Linked DNA regions of Coturnix japonica. The protein of the gene in region 3 purifies or fractionates together with the protein of the main gene of each other region. This does not show direct contact. Links are inferred from orthologs where the notes say so. Each region holds a gene or a part of one and is shown on either strand. Other genes may lie near its edges. The genes, in order: PIAS1, SRC and STAT1.

Region 1 (5,496 bases), on a different chromosome or scaffold from region 3:
GCACCCACCCCCCATCCCTGCAGGAACTCAGGGACACAAACCACCACCAAAGGCCCACGGCTGCCCCCAGCAGCAGGCACACACTGCACTTATCAGCAACACGATGGGGGAGACCATAGTTCCATTTGTAGGGAACTTTGAGAACTCAGACTGAGACTTCTACCAAGTCACGTTAACTGTGGTCAGAGGCACAGAGATTATGGACCATACAGCACAGCCCGGCGTGAAACATGAATATTCCAACACACGGGATTCACACCGCAAAGAGTTTCGGGAACGTTTCTCTCCCTTCTTTGCAGAGCAACGAGGTTGGAGACAGCAGCAGCAAACTGAGCAGCCTTCCTTCCCTTGGGGCAAGGCGGGAGGAGTGGAAGACATCACCGTGCAGCCTCACTCTCCATGCGCGGGCAGCAAGATGCCAGATCCCGTCTTACCACACTCTTGCCGCGACTGGTTTTATATGTGAATTAAAAAGACTGGAATACCGTGGTGGGAACGGGCGCGGGCTGCTCCTCAGCTCCTCTTCTGTACAGTCAGTGGGAACACACTGCACGCCTCGCTCAGCTCTGCAAACGTCCCTGGCTGCTCCGCTTTACAAAAGGAACAGACACGGCGCGGCTGCTCTGCGGGTACCGGGTCAGTACTCACAACTAAAATGTATGAGACATATTCCTCATGTAGGTTTAATCACTTTGAAATCAGACTGAGTTTAAAAAATAAGTATTTCCCATTTTCTATCCTTTTATTTTATTTTTTTTTAACTGACATTTAATAAATTATAAAATTGGTGTATGGTGAAATATATATATATATATATATATCAGCCAGATATGTATGAAATACACATGCATGGGAAAAACTATTTAACTCACTTTTAACTCACACACACAGATCTATAAATACATATATACACACACATATACATATAAACACAAACATTTGTTTCCAAAATTCAAGTCAACTATTTAGTGGCAGAGGGATGCTGTAAAAACACTAGAAACAATTTTGATGCCACGTAATCGTGTGAACCTTTCAAAGAACCATACAACTGATCATACAGCAATACCTAATGCTACTTGGATTAACGTGTTTTTGCTTTTTTTTGTCTTTTTTTTTTTTTTTTTTTTTTCCTTTTTTTTTTCTTATTTTCTTTTTTTTTTTTTTTTCCTTTTTGTAATTAATGCAATATTTTGAGACAACTTCATAGGCAAAAGGTGGCCCTCGTCAATGCTCAAAGCAACTATAGCTGCAATCAGCAGCTTGGGACATTAAAAACTCAGACAAGCATCTGCTAACCTCTGTATTCCTCACTCTCTTTCCTGATAAACCTGTTACCTGCACTTCCAACCAGTTACAAAAATAGCTTTCACACCAGAGGAAATCACTTCTCTCTGATGGGACTTTGGGACACAACAGAATCACCTCCTCCCCTCCCCCTGCTCTCACTTTAAAGAATCTCCTGAAAAACTGCATTCCAGCTATTTACACGTTTCTCTGTAACAAGAACGGATCAGCCCAAATGATCCACCAGCTCTTAAAAAAAGGTTTTCCTATGTCACACACAGCTGAAAAAGTGAAGAAAGAAACGAAACCAGGAAGCAAACGTGGCTCCAAGTGTGATGGAAGGGAACTGAAAGGAACGGGGAATCAAAATAACCACCAAGCCATAAAGAGAAAACTGAATGGGAACCCCACAACCCTAAGAGAGACTTCAATAGGCAGAGATTCATTTAAGTGCAGGGAAGGGCACTGGGCTTCTTTTTTGGCTTAACAGACTCACATTAAACATTTAATACCAACTTGGGTGAAGGAGAACTCAGAAGACAGCAAACCAAGACCATTATCGGCTGCACCAACCATGCAATAGAGCGTCGGCATTTGTATTTTCTTCCTTTTGCTGACAAGTTCACTTTTAAGCAGAAATTTGATCTACTGCAGCTAAAAGGAGGTTTTCCAAGCCAGGAGACAGGCCCAACCCAGTGGGCCAGTCCTACACGCGTGGCTGATCTTAAAGCACAAGCAGCTCCACACATTTCAAACTGACACATGCTGAATATTGTGAGTAGGATCTTAAGTTATCTTAAAAGGATTTCATAGTAAGTTGTTAGAAACAAAAACCTACAGTCAGATGTGTCGATGCTTTTCTCTGGGGCTGGATTCTATATGAATTTGGTCTTGTCCCACATAACACAGCCAAACAACTTCTCAGCCTGACATTTTATTGAGTCTGGCCCTCCAGAATAATTGGTGCACTAACAAGCTCACAACATGCTTGATTAAAGCACGGAATTAAAAAGAAAGTCAGCCAAACAGAGGGTCACATAGAACAAGAAATGACAAATAAACACTCCTGAAAGGCTACGTACTGCAAACAGAGGGAACGGTGCGGAACAGGCTGGGTAGGGTTTATTCCACATCGAGCACAACAAAATCTGCACTAAAATGGGATGGGGGAATTCCATTCCACCACCAAATACAGGTGTCTCCAAGAGGCAAAAAAAAAAAGAAAAAGAAAAAAAACAACCCAGAAGTTTGAACTTCAGAAGTTCAGTTCCTTTTCCCATTTCTGTTACTGTGAAGAAAATAATGCCATTTGTGTCCAAACTAAGGGCAAAAGAAATAAGTAACTCACATGACAAATGCACAGGTGTTGAATCTTCAGCATCCATTAAATCCAAGTTCCTTGTTTTTGTGGGTTTTTGTGTGTGTGTTCTGCTTTGTGTTGTGGCATTTATTTATTTATTTATTTTGTTATTTTTTTTATCAGTGAGGCCATCTTAGGTTTATATACAAAAGTAAAACTGAAAATATAGTTTTGTTCTCTGTACATGTAAATTTTTTTCCCTAAAAAAGGAAAAAAACCTGTCTATGTTTCTAACATAAAGTAAAACCAAGCACAAAGACTTCCTCTGACAAGTTCGTTTTCTCCAAAAATCAGTCCAACGAAATAATGTCTGATATGATACCAAAGATAGACGCCGTGTCCGCGCCGCTCCTACTTGCAACTGGATGACCATGATTCTCTCGCAGGCTGTTGGAGGAAACAAGACTGCTGTTACTGCCACTATTGCTACCGTTTGTGGCTGGCAGAGAACTGCTTCCTCCTGCATTTAGCTGATCGAGAAACATCTGAGATGAAGTGTATGGGAAAAAACGAGAGTGTAAGAGTTCTTGATCATCTGATGCGGAAACTGCCGCAGCTGCAGCAGCAAGAAGGGATGTGTTGTAATGCTGGGGGGGGAAAAACAACATTTGCAAGTTACATTTCAGACACCATTGTTTTGATTCAGACCAGCAAAAAAAAAAAGAATATATTTGTAAGCTACAGCTCTGACAGCTTCTGGGTTTCACACCAGCTCGCCCACTCAACCTTTCTGTAAGGTAAACGGATCGATGCAGTGATCTTTTACTTCTGCAGCCTCTGAATTTCAGAGCCAAAAGGAATGGGAAATACTGGCAATTAGTAAGAAAAAACACTAGAAAGGTAGTGGCATTGCAAGACAGCCGAACAGTGAGAAATGTCAAGCAGAAGCACTTGTACCTCTCCATACAACTCCTTGGTGGAAAAATTCCCCAAAATTCAAAGAATCATTTTGCCATCCCTCTGCTCATTAGTCATCAACTACAGCTGGTAAAACTATGGGCTAATCACTGCTGGTGGAGAGAGAAACAGTTCTTCCCTGTGAAAAATACATTTAGAAATATGGGAAATATGTTTAGGCCCATCAGGAGGCAGCAAAGGCCGTCTGAAGTGACACTCTTTGACAGGCAGCACCCAAAAGGCAAGAACTTCAATTATCAAGGTCGGATTTTAAATGTTATTTATCTGTATGGTGCTTCTGCTCTTTATATTTGTTTTAACTACAAGGAAACATCCACACACGTCATTTAGCCTTGTTTCCTGGCACTCGAGCACTGGTACAACTATGCCTTGCCAGTGCAACACCAGACTTTGGCAATACTCATTTCAGAATTATTCTCATGTCTGTCTTTTTACTGAATATGAAGAAAGCTTCTCTGAATCCAAGTTCTGTTAAACAGGCTCTGGACTTTGCAATGACATGGAAGTCCCCTTGTTTTTAGTCCCATTCTCCTACCTGAGAGTGCTGAACAGGAATGGAGGGAAGAAAGGTGGTGAACCACCCCAACCCTCTTCTTTGCTGGGAAGCACTGAAGGGGTAGTGACCAAGTGGGAGAATTCACCAAACCTTTTGAGAACCATCTTTTTAGTTCCCCGAACTGCAGAAGCCAGCACCAAATCTAGTTCATTTCAGTAAGTGCTTACAGGAAAGCAGCAAGCAGTGTGAGCAGGCACACAGCCTCAGGGGAAGAGGAAAATAAAAGGAGCTGCCCTGACTCTCAAAATTGCATAGAGCACTGTCAAGAGACCCAGTGATGGGGCCTAACATGGTCAGATGGAGAAAGATCACACTAACTTAAAGTATGTAAAAGTGTGCATTTTCAGCCACAGCCAAGGGTCATCCTGCAATATACCTGCAGCTAACTAGCTTGAAGCCCTTGAAGAAAAGTCTTTGTCTGCTGTTATGCCTTATCATGCATCTGTATTTAGGATAATGCTTATGTCTGGTTACATCCTATGTGCACAAAAGAGGTACAGTCTGCCTGCACTCACACCTGTGTTACAGATCTGCTCTTTCCTCGCCTATACATCCAAGTCAGCAAGTCCTTATCAGAAAAGCAATCTGCCAGATGGTTTGATTTTCCTTAACTTACCTGATTGTCTCCTGACAGGAAAGGGAAGAAATCTAAACCTGAAAAGAGCCAAAGAAAAAGAGTCAGGCTTCTCAAAACAAAAAAAGTACCTCCCAATTTCTCCCACCAAATTTTGAAATGAAATAAATTGAACCAGCATAAAACTAATGACACTTCAGACTCTCTTTACCACCAGACCTTGGGAGAAATCAGACTTTTAACACCTTAAGATACTAACCTAAACCTTCTTTCTCTTACAATACCACTTTGTTTTCCGTGGTTGTAAAAATATTATTTTGCATAACTGGACTGTGAAACAGTCTGTTTGAATCCTTCTGTAACAGTCACAATAGCTCAGAGAGTTGTACCTATAGTTACAAACAGCCAGCAGCTTACCTTGCAAGTCATAAGGCATAGGTGTCATATGGAATGGATGCCTGTAGTCTTGGATAAGCGATGTGTTGATGTAACTGGTGTCAACAGCAGGAAGGCTTGGTGTTCTTGACACAGGAGATGCTTGATGGGGTAAATTCAAAATGCTAGCAAAAGTAAAAGGTTTAAAGAGTAAAATTTAACCTTAAAGCCAAGACTATAAGTACATCATTTAAAGATCCCTATGTTTCTACTGCTGTCCCATGCAGGGCATGCCTATTCTCAAATTTAACCATCTCAGTACACACCATGAGCATCGTGACTGGCATATAACAGCTCCCCTGATAAGTTTCAGAGCTTCACTAGAAAGCATCAAGATGCTGCTATACCTCAGCGAGTCTTGCAGGGGAG
Region 2 (4,911 bases), on a different chromosome or scaffold from region 3:
ACAGTCACAAGCACAGAGGATACACAGTGGAGGCTTCCACATCCCAACCCCAGCTGTACAGAACCCCTGCCCTGCTGCAGTGACAGACCACAGGGCAGCACCACATCCCACCCATCACACACAGACTGAGGCACTCACCAACAAGAGATACCCTCCCCATCGCTTAATTACTTTAGCAAGAAGTAAATCATGAAACATTAAACACTTAAGATGATAAAAATTGACTCACCAGCCCTCAGAGACAAAGCAGCACTCAGGGCACCAGAACCACCACGGGTCACTGAAGCTCAGCCACAGCCCCACTCTCTGAAGGCCTATTCCCACAAATCAATTACTTCATCACCAACTGAGGGATTCCAATCAGCATCCACTAATTACCCTAATGAAGCAAGCCTGCTCCCAGCCAGCTCACTGAGCAACAGCTGAAGGAGGCTGCAATCAGCACAGACAGGGGTGTCCCAGGGCAGATGGATAAGGGACAAAAGCTCTGCATGCCCCATAGTTTTCCTCCTACCCCTGGCAGATATCACCCCCCCCCAAGACAATCCTGAGAGCCACATGCAGGGCTGGATGCCCTTTGGGGATGCCAAGGGGTCCTCCTTCACCACACACAACCCACAGCGATCTGTTTGGTGAGGTCTGTTTGTCTTTAATTATCAAATTGCAAAGTATTTACAACAACATCATGAGAGATTCAAAGCATCTCCATCCCCCACCACCCCCCACGCCGGACATGGTCAGGATTTTCCAAAGATTTAAAAAAAAAAAAAAAAAGCTAAATATTTCTTACTTTGACACTGAAACAGGTTGGGGGGGTGGAGGTGTTGGGCTGGGGGGAGAGAAACAGATCCACGCACCCTGTGCATAGTCAGTGGGAGATGTTACAAAACACTTTATAAAATGGTACCAGCAGAACATCTCACACGGGGCTGCTTTGTACCAAAGAGCATCACTGGGGGTGGGGGGTGGGTAACCCTCTACTGGCTTCAGCAACAGACCAGCAATGGAGGGGATGGCACGGGGGCTCTGTGGAGCACAGGTGGGCCAGCAGCCCCCAGCCCTGCTCCATGCTATGGGAGCCCAAAGGCTGTGTGTCCATGTGTGTGTTTGCCTTTGTTCCCTCTGCTCAGCTCTTGGCTCACATCTGGCTACTGCCCGTCCCCACGTGCTGCTCTCAGAGCTTTCCCCTGGGGATGCAGGCACTGTGCACACTGTGTGGTGATGGCACACAAACATCGTGGGGTGTGGAGGTTTAAAGGCTGTGAGCGCTGGGGTGCAGCAGGACCTGCACCAAGGGAAACGTGACAAGGGATGAAGGGCTCCAATTCCCATTGTGAGTACAGAAATCCATGGGAACAGCCCTCCAAGCCAAAAGTGGGATCCCTCCATACTGCTACGAGCCCCTTTGCACTGAGTTCACTATTAAAACAGAGCCACCGACTGAGAACTCAGGTAATAAATAAGACGCCTGGGAACAAGTGGGAGGCAGCAGCGGCTCAGCTTGGTTCTCTGGAGGTGTTTTTGGCACTGGGTGTGAGCAATGGATAGGAGGTTCAGGACACAGGTGGTGATGGTGTGATGAGGGGCTCCAGCTGGGCACAGACAAGGACAGATGTTGGTACCACAGTGACAGCACACATAGCTTGGTCAGGTAATGGGAGGTGCTGGAGGGCTATGTACAGGGGTGCTCAGTGGGAGCTGCTGTGGGTACCAGGCTGAGCATGGATTGCTCTGACCTCCAACACATGGTACTGGGAGCGAGCAGGGAGCAGCTGGGTCTGTAAATGGCTCCCAGACGCTCCATGCTCCCTGATAAGCGGATGGCAGAAGCAGGGGGGATGGTGGCTAGAAACACATCGGTGGACAAAAGCAGTGCTGAAAGACAAGTAGTTCCCCCAGACACTGAACCCTGTGCCCGAGGATGGGTGGTTGCTGGAGGGAGACCACCAGGCTCCACGGGGCATCCCAAGGTCTGCTCTCCAGCTGCATCCGACCCAAAGCAGTGCCTTCCCCAGCACCAAATGTCTCTGCAAACAGCCTCGTGCAGACCAGAGTGAAGTGGGTGGGTGAATGGGTGAAGAAATTTGTGCTGATTTAAAAAAGGGGGTGCGGGAGGTGTGGGGCAGTGTGTCTGAGGAGGGAGGGGCTATCCCCCCATTTCTCTGGCTGCTGTGAGAACAGGGTCCTGTAAGCCACAGCTGTGCCAGCAGCCATCCTGCTGCTCCATTCGCCATCCTGAGCCTCAGTTCCGCTGGTGGCAGTGCCCGGGGCTCCTCTCGCCACCTCGTTAAGGGTGGCCCAGCAGTTTTAATGAGCAATGGGGCACCCGACACCTCACCATGCCGCATCTTGCTCTGGGGCTGCTCCTCAAAACGTGGCCCCTCTGCACAGAGCCAGCCCTCTGCGCCCCACAGCGAAGCCTCTGGCACCAAGAGGAGCTCCAGGCCTATAGGTTCTCTCCAGGCTGGTACTGGGGCTCTGTCGAGGTGAAGTAGTCCTCCAGGAAGGCCTGCAGGTACTCAAAGGTGGGCCGCTCCTCAGGGTCCTTCCGCCAGCACTGGCACATGAGGTCATGCAGTGATTCAGGGCACTCGGGTGGGCAAGGCATGCGGTAGCCCCGCTCCACCTGGTCCAGCACCTCCCTATTGACCATCCCTGTGGAAAGAAGGGCAGTGGGGCCGGGTCACGCACTGTGCCCAGCCCATGGGGTGTGGGGTTGGTGCCAGCTCTCACCTGGGTATGGCACCCGGCCCTTGGTGGTCAGCTCAGTCAGCAGGATGCCGAAGGACCAAACATCTGACTTGATGGTGAATCGGCCATACAGGGCTGCCTCGGGGGCTGTCCACTTGATGGGGAACTTGGCACCTGGGCAGGGAGGCAGAGTGAGGGGCTGCTCCCATCCACAGCCCGCAGACCCCCAACCTCATGGCCTGGGGCATCAAACCAACCTCTAGTCCCACTACCCGTGCCCCGCTCACACCTTGCCGTGCTGTGTACTCGTTGTCCTCGATGAGACGTGCCAGCCCAAAGTCAGCCACCTTGCACACCAGGTTCTCCCCCACCAGGATGTTGGCTGCCCGCAGGTCTCGGTGCACATAGTTCATCCTCTCCACATAGGCCATGCCAGACGCAATCTATAGGGCAGAGTGTGGGGACTGGGCTTTGCAGGGGACAAGAGGACCCCAACCACAGTGGGAATGGCTCCACAGCCAGAACCGATCCAGCTGATGGGAGCCAGGGTGCAAGAGGAATAGGAAGCAGGAACCCACCTGAGCAGCCATATCGACGAGCTGTGGCAGCCGCAGGTACTTGCCCATCTCTCCCTTCAGGAAGTCTAGGAGGCTCCCTGCGAGGAAGACAGCGGTCACCAATGGGCAGTACCATCCCCTGGCCACCCAGCAGCCCTGCTGTGCTCACCCTTGCTCATGTACTCAGTGACGATGTAGATGGGCTCCTCTGACACCACAGCGTACAGCTGAACCAGCTTCTCATGCCGGAGCTTCTTCATCACTTGTGCTTCCTGCAGGAAGGCTTCTGGGGACATCGTGCCGGGCTTCAGAGTCTTTATGGCCACTCTGGTGGTGCCGTTCCAGGTCCCTGCAGCACAAGACATGTTTACAAGGCTGCGTTCCACACCTGCTTCCCTACTGATGCGGATGATGACGCTGCATGTGGCTGTCCTTACCCATCCAGACCTCTCCAAAGCAGCCCTGCCCCAGCTTCACCTCCAGCCGCAGCGACTCCCGGGGAATTTCCCACGCATCCTTGGCGAGTCCTTGGGTCTGGGGCTTGGACGTGGGGCAGACATTGGTCAGGCGGTGGCACAAGCCATCAGCATGTTCTAGTGCAGCAGGGACAACACAAGTGATGCTTTGGTATTTGGGTGCACGACGTCTTCCCTGCACAACACCTTGGGCACCCAAACTCAGACACCTTCCCCTCTTTCTCAAACCCAAGTGGTGTTTCACCAGGGTCTGCCCACCTGCTTCAGCTCCTGCACTGGCATTCCCTTCATAAAACCATCAAGGTTGGAAAAGAGGATCAATATCCCCAAGTCCAAGCACCCCATCGCTAAGACACGTCCCTTAGCTCCACATCCACATACCTCAAACACCTCCATGGATGAGGTCTCCACCACTACCACCCATCCATAAACAAACTCTTCCCAATACCCAACCCAAACCCCCCCTGGCATCACCCAGACCCCAAGGGATGTGGGCAGGGGCTCTGGCCATACGCACTGGAGTAGTAGGCCACCAGCTGCTGCAGGCTGCCGAACTGTGTGCGCGAGGTGATGTAGAAGCCGCCGCTGTCCAGCTTGCGGATCTTGTAGTGCTTCACATTGAGCCCCTTGGCGTTGTCGAAGTCGGAAACGGAGAGGCAATAGGCACCTGAGGGCACAACAGAGTAAGAATCACAGAATCATAGAATCACAAGGTTGGAAAGGACCTACAAGATCATCCAGTCCAACCATCCTCCCATCATCACTGATACCACAAGCCACTAAACCAGATCTCGTAGCTCCTCATCCAGATGCCTCTTGAACAGTGCCAGGGATGGCAGCTCCACCACCTCCCTGTGCAGCCATTCCAGTGCCTGACCACTCTCTGAGAGAAAAAGTTTTTCCTTATGTGTAATCTAAACCTCCTCAGCATCCTCAGAAAGCCAAGCTCTTGGGATCAAACTTACACATTTGGGAGGAACAAAACAAGGATAAAGAGTCTATAGCCTTGAAAGAGGAGCCTAAAAATCCATCATTGCCTCCACTTAGTTCCTCACAAGTGAGATTTTGCCATTAGACAGAGGTTAGGAAAGAACAGAACTCATTTGCCTAGGGACAAAAAGAATGCACAAAAAAGCCCAGGAGAGGACATGGTGTTGTTCCCAACACTTCAGAGTTACATGGGCACA
Region 3 (5,616 bases):
GTTTAAAACATAAACGTAAAATTGAGTGTAGCTGGGAAGGAAGAGTAGTATCACTTTCCAAGGCAGTCCAGAGACCCACTAGTGCTCAGCTGCTCAATAAACAGTAAATCAAGAGTAAAATGGAAAAGGAAGGAAGAATCAAGATCACTTTCTGGCCCTTTCCCATCTGAATAGCTCACGCTACTCAAACCCGCTGGTATCCCAAGTAATAGGAAAGGGCAGACACGACTGCAGTGGACATTTCAAAACTAACTTACCTGATTAGACAACTGTGCACTGTTCAGTATTTTCCTCTCCTCTTTCAGGCAGTTGTGGATGATCATTGCCATGTGTATTGGGTCTTCTTGGAAGTTATCCTGGTGTTAGACATGGGCTATTGTTAAACTTAATACGTGTAATCTCTTGTATTTCATTAAATCAACTGACAAGAATAACATGTGTCGGGTTAAGCCCGAGTTGTATCTTGCTTTGAGACTACATGGACTGTAGCCAGCTCTAGGAAGCAGTTTCTCTGCTTGGTGTATTACTTTGTTTTGTTAGGGTACAAAGAGTTGATGGGACTTGTCATGTAACAATGACATAGGGCTGGAGATGTTACTGTAAGAAGGCACAGAGTAAGCTGTTTTACACTGTAGTGCTGGAGACAGCTTTGAGAGCCACACCTCCACACCTTGGAGGCATAGCTGCAGTTTTTAAAGAGGAGTTATAGCTTGACAGGTGCTGCTTTCACTTGGGAAGATAAAGAAGGGACATTTGCTGCCACTTGGGAACACAGAGACAAGGGAAGTAATGGAGACCACAAATAGATTCTGCAGTGCTATCCACTACCCACTGCTTCATCCTTTTCTTTGTCAGAATAATGTGATGTACACAAGTGACAGATTCCCTGTTTTTTATTGTGGTTCTGTAGCTATGTTTAAGGATTTATTCTCCTGTGTTTCTTCTGCATCAGTGATTTATTGAGACAAGAAACTGCTCTGGGAAGGGTTGGGGTAAGCAAAGCTGCATTCCCTAAGGTACTCCAATTACATGCTCCTTGCATGCTCCTATTACAGACCCTTGCATACAGCAACTTCTGGTTTTGAGTTCTCAGAAACCATAACTTGTACTGTTAATGAAAGTAACTTTGTAACCATAGCCAAGTTAAAATAAAAATGGAGTCACGTTTGGAATCTGACTTGTTAAATTAAGGCTCTCGAATACTCTCTGGAAAATCCCTCAGGGCAGAATATTCTGCTTGGGGACATCCAACTCCAGCACCAAAGGTATTTAAACACGTGCCTGGGCATACCTGAAGATTACGTTTGCTTTTCCTTATGTTGTGTTGCAGCAAGAAGTTGTTTTCTATCAAAAATCGGCTAAATTGATCATCGAGCTGTGACAGCAGGTCATGGAATAGCACCGTAGCAAATGACACATTGTTGGCCGCGTGTTCCCTAGAATAAATTGCAAGCATGCTTGTGTTAAATGCTTTCAACCAGCACTCAAAATGCACTACAGAGAACGTTGTATTGATCCCCAGCTCCAGTTGTAATATACGTGAGCAGGAAGAACTGCTTTCAAACACGTCAGCCTCATCCTCTCACCTTCTGCTTCACTTTCCTCAATAGAGAACTGCTGTTCTTCTGTGCTGCCTTTGCCACGTTTTGTGTGACATCACTGACCCTTTCCATGTGCATCAGGAAGCTAGAAGTGACCCTGATGCATACACACACCATGCAGTGCTAAACAACACTCCATAGGAACGTTGGAAAACAGTTCTGAGTCTGTGAATGGTGAGAGCCTGAGGTGCCAGGCAAACTGACTGCCTTAAAACACCTGCTTTTGGTTGAGATTAACTAAAGAAAACATTAAGTGGGGCAATTGTTACTCTAGACATCAGGCCTCCCCTACACAGACTAGATTCCCACCCCTCCTCAAGTCTATGAGCTGCACAGCTCTCAAAGCATCCTACCAGCATAGGTGTCCCCACGTCCCTAGCAGCTTTCTTCCCCAGTACTCTGCTGCCACCTGTCCCTCTCTGTGTAACGTTTATTATCCTATAACCCAAAGGTCAATTTCTATGCTTACCAATCCTGGTTTTCCAGCCACTGTGCCAGGTACTGCCTGATCTCCATAGGGAAGCTGTCATCGTACAGCTGGTGAACTTGCTCCAAAAACTTGGAGTCCAGTTGTTGTAGCTGATACCACTGAGTCATCCTGGGAAGCGGGGAATAAAAGCAGCTTAAGGTACCGTTAGAGCTGAAGTGGTGCAAAATGACTCATTCCAGGCTTTCATTAAACCCATAAATCTGGAGGTCACGGTAAAACGGAAGGAAATTGGAACAGAAGCACGTTCTGTTTTGAGGTGAAATGGAATCACTGAACGATCAAAACATCACTTAACATCTTCTGCGCTGCTTTGAATTCCAAAAGCTGCCAATTAAGACTGTTAATTGCATCAACAGAAGTCAGTCAACACTTCAAACACTCTTCCCTATGAAAAGCTGCGTTTTTTACCCTCCATACACGCTCCTTTCTCAATCAGTATCAGCACTGTGACTGTACTGTAGTTGCTTACAGGGGAGCTGATAGGTCAGGGCTGTGTCTGCCTAAGGGAGTACAGACAGTGTTCACCTGTGCTCCCAGCTGAGCAGGAGGGTGGGCTGAGAGTGGAGCCCTATGGCTCATATAAATACCAGCCACTGAAGAGAGAGCATCGTTTGGATCTGGGCTGCTTCGTATAGGAGTGCTGCATTGCCAGGGAGCCCCTTCATCAGCTGGGTGAGTCTGATTCTTTTCTCTTTTTGTATATGATTTTTGGCTTGAATATTAGGGTTGATATTGCTGAGATTCTTTAGAAGCAGTTTTGTCTCTCTGTATTCAGCTCCAATCTCTCCCCTCATCCCATCACAACAGACCCTATTGAAGAGCATATCCCCTTCCTTCGCAGAGCGGGTCGCTCTCAGGTCCCCCCCAGCCTTCTCCTACCCCCCAGGTTATGGTTCCAAGGCTCACAGCTGGCTATAACGGCGATCAGATGCTAATTTACCCCCACCCCATCCCGTACTCACCCGCTGGCACTACCCGTCCCGCTCCGCTCTCTCCCCTTCCCCGCTCCCACAAATACCCTCCCGGCCGCGGCCATGGGGATACACCGCAGGGCCAATAGGAGCCCGGCCCACACCGCCCGGGCCAATGAGCACGCGCGGTGCCGCCCTAAGCCCCGCCCCCTTCACTTTTTCTTCCGCGTTTCTTCTGGGACTCGCTGTGGTGCTTTGCGCATGCGTAGTGACGGCGCTGTGAGGCGGCGCTGCACCACGTGACTTCTGGGAAAGGCTCCCTGCGACCGGAACGGGCCGCTTGGCGGGAAGGCGAAACCGAAAGCGACACCACAGGCACAGCGCCGCCATCTTGGCCTTTGTTTGCATTGATAGACTGTACAATCGTATCTCGGGCTGTTAATAAATTAACCCAGATTTCCGTCCAACAGACAGAGACTTGGATGGAGGTCTGCTTAATAACAGCTGAGGGTTTTAATTGTGCCCGGTGTTTGGCCGGCTGAGAGCTTTCATCCTAGTAAATAACTGATATGGAGGCTTCATTATCTCACATTTCATCCTTATTGCAGCTCGTTGCCTTGTTAGGACATGTAGGGCTGTGTTGGTATAAGTAACTCTAGACAATCTTGGCTTATGTTAAAACCTGGGTTCTTTTCTGTTGCTTCTTTTTTTCCCCTATGAAGATTATTTAGAAGATAAATCCTGAGGCTCTGGAAAGGCAGGAGTTTGCCAAATGAACATTCTTCCTTGATGCATAGAGAAAATACACTCAATTTCTTTGGGTAGGCTGAGTTATTTACCAGAGTGTTCCAAAGTGTTTGTGAATGGTCAGTAAAGTGTATAAACCTAATGGGGAGTGCTTGGGTCTTTTTTGGTTGTAGTTTGTATCTCCCGCTCCCCTCAAACAGGGAAACCTTCTTAGCTGGTAGAAGAGATGGGTAAATAGAAGATGTGCTGGTAAGTTTTTGTCTGGTAGCCCTGATTACTGGTATGAATCTGAGTTCTTTATATATCAAACCAGTAGGAAAATGGTAGCTAATAGGTTTTTACATTGAATTTGAAACCGTGTGGTAGTAGGGCAGGGCACAAAGCACAGCACAGTGCTGTTGGGTTCTTTTCCTGTTATTTCTGATTTTGCAGCTGTGAAACCCAGTGAAAGCGTAAGCACTGTTAGTAAAAGTGCTGGAGAGCAGATGTCATCTGCTGTAGCAGCATGTGAGAGTGTCCCTTTTGACTTGCTTTTCTTGTTTTTTTTGCCATTTACTTCCTTTCTTTGAACCCTCATCTCATACAGGGACACGTTCTCATTAGTGGGGTGTGTTTTCTTTGTGGAACAAGATTTGTCCAGTATAAATTCATTATAAAGACAATAACGTTTGTCTCTTTGAAGTAGCAAACAGAGCTGCAGTAGCAGGCCTTCCAATTAAACCAACAAAGACAACTAATAGCAAAACCTTATCAGCAATCTTATTAAGCCATACAAGAAAAATCATTGAGTTGTACAGGGAGCAGAAAGGGTAGAGAACAAGAGTGATTTGCATGTTGTGTCTGCCCTCCCTCCCTTTTTAAACTGTATTTCTCATGACCTTTAGATGGCCAGTATCCATTTTGTTAGTATTAAGATAGTGAAAAGAGGTCAGGATAAGAAAGCATGCAGTGTGGGGTCAAGTTTTGTTTGCTGCTGTTGGAGTCTGTGTAGCTGTAGTTTAGATGCGTGCTCAGCCTGAAGTGGTCTCAAAGGTCTTTTCATGCTTAGATGATAGATGCCACAGGTCTTTGTTTTATATTGAAGAAATCCGCATAAGCTCAGGTGTCCAACTTAAAGCCTAAGTGTGTTTTTATCCATACTTGTGGTATAAATTACAGTTTGTTATCAGACATAGATACACAATGATTGTTGTTTAGGTTCTCTATGTGATGCTTTGCAAGTATAAATGTGGATCTACATAGCTTTGAATCACTGTGACTGATCAACTACTGAGACGTGTTTGGTGATTTAATATCTACTCTGATATTTCAGCAGTGCCCAGAAAGAGTGTTTCTCCATTCTGACACAGATGTTGCTCATTCACATCAATGATACGGGTGAAGGGGGGAGTAAAGAGAAATGAAACTGAAATCTCACTCTGACTCTGATGTGAAGGGGTTGTTTTGATTTCAAGCGCTTGTGTTACTCGTGCTTCAGCATCTGCACCTCATGCTCTTCCTTAGTGTTTGTGTGTTCTAAGGACTTTGTATCAGCTGTTTATTTTGCACACAAGTTAAATCTGCACGAGGCTGCACTCATAAAAGGCAATGGCCCTGGAACTGCCATTTTATTATTCAATTAAAAGAACGTTGAGGGGATCGTACTGGGAAAAACAAACAAATGAGCCAATGTAAGTCCATGCTAAAATAAGCCAAATGAAATGTGTTTCAGAGACGGTATAAAACTAGTTATCCCACCTTTGAAATGAGTCTCTGACAGCCATGTGATGTTGTTGTGTATCACTGGCTGTCTCATGGTTGGTGAATGCTATCATTTTTGTGTAATTGTTCTTTGGAACTGTTCTTCCCCGCCTGTATTTACCAGATA

What was found.
Region 1: the proteins of STAT1 (region 3) and PIAS1 purify together in Homo sapiens (affinity purification with western blotting; 5 studies listed by BioGRID). This does not show direct contact. The link is inferred for Coturnix japonica from reciprocal best matches to the Homo sapiens genes STAT1 and PIAS1.
Region 2: the proteins of STAT1 (region 3) and SRC purify together in Homo sapiens (affinity purification with western blotting; 3 studies listed by BioGRID). This does not show direct contact. The link is inferred for Coturnix japonica from reciprocal best matches to the Homo sapiens genes STAT1 and SRC.

What each region holds. Positions count from the first base shown.
Region 1 is NC_029525.1:17,355,019-17,360,514, reverse strand, and holds the end of PIAS1 (E3 SUMO-protein ligase PIAS1), read right to left. Parts: intron 5,253-5,496; coding exon 5,110-5,252; intron 4,773-5,109; coding exon 4,735-4,772; intron 3,232-4,734; coding exon 2,935-3,231; 3' UTR 1,158-2,934; downstream 1-1,157. UniProt on the Homo sapiens protein: Functions as an E3-type small ubiquitin-like modifier (SUMO) ligase, stabilizing the interaction between UBE2I and the substrate, and as a SUMO-tethering factor. Catalyzes sumoylation of various proteins, such as CEBPB, MRE11, MTA1, PTK2 and PML.
Region 2 is NC_029535.1:4,452,781-4,457,691, reverse strand, and holds the end of SRC (proto-oncogene tyrosine-protein kinase Src), read right to left. Parts: intron 4,392-4,911; coding exon 4,242-4,391; intron 3,842-4,241; coding exon 3,686-3,841; intron 3,598-3,685; coding exon 3,418-3,597; intron 3,347-3,417; coding exon 3,270-3,346; intron 3,135-3,269; coding exon 2,981-3,134; intron 2,866-2,980; coding exon 2,734-2,865; intron 2,656-2,733; coding exon 2,447-2,655; 3' UTR 954-2,446; downstream 1-953. UniProt on the Homo sapiens protein: Non-receptor protein tyrosine kinase which is activated following engagement of many different classes of cellular receptors including immune response receptors, integrins and other adhesion receptors, receptor protein tyrosine kinases, G protein-coupled receptors as well as cytokine receptors.
Region 3 is NC_029522.1:2,023,854-2,029,469, reverse strand, and holds the start of STAT1 (signal transducer and activator of transcription 1-alpha/beta), read right to left. Parts: upstream 3,181-5,616; 5' UTR 3,128-3,180; coding exon 3,054-3,127; intron 2,200-3,053; coding exon 2,071-2,199; intron 1,437-2,070; coding exon 1,292-1,436; intron 357-1,291; coding exon 258-356; intron 252-257; exon of another isoform or gene 1-251. UniProt on the Homo sapiens protein: Signal transducer and transcription activator that mediates cellular responses to interferons (IFNs), cytokine KITLG/SCF and other cytokines and other growth factors.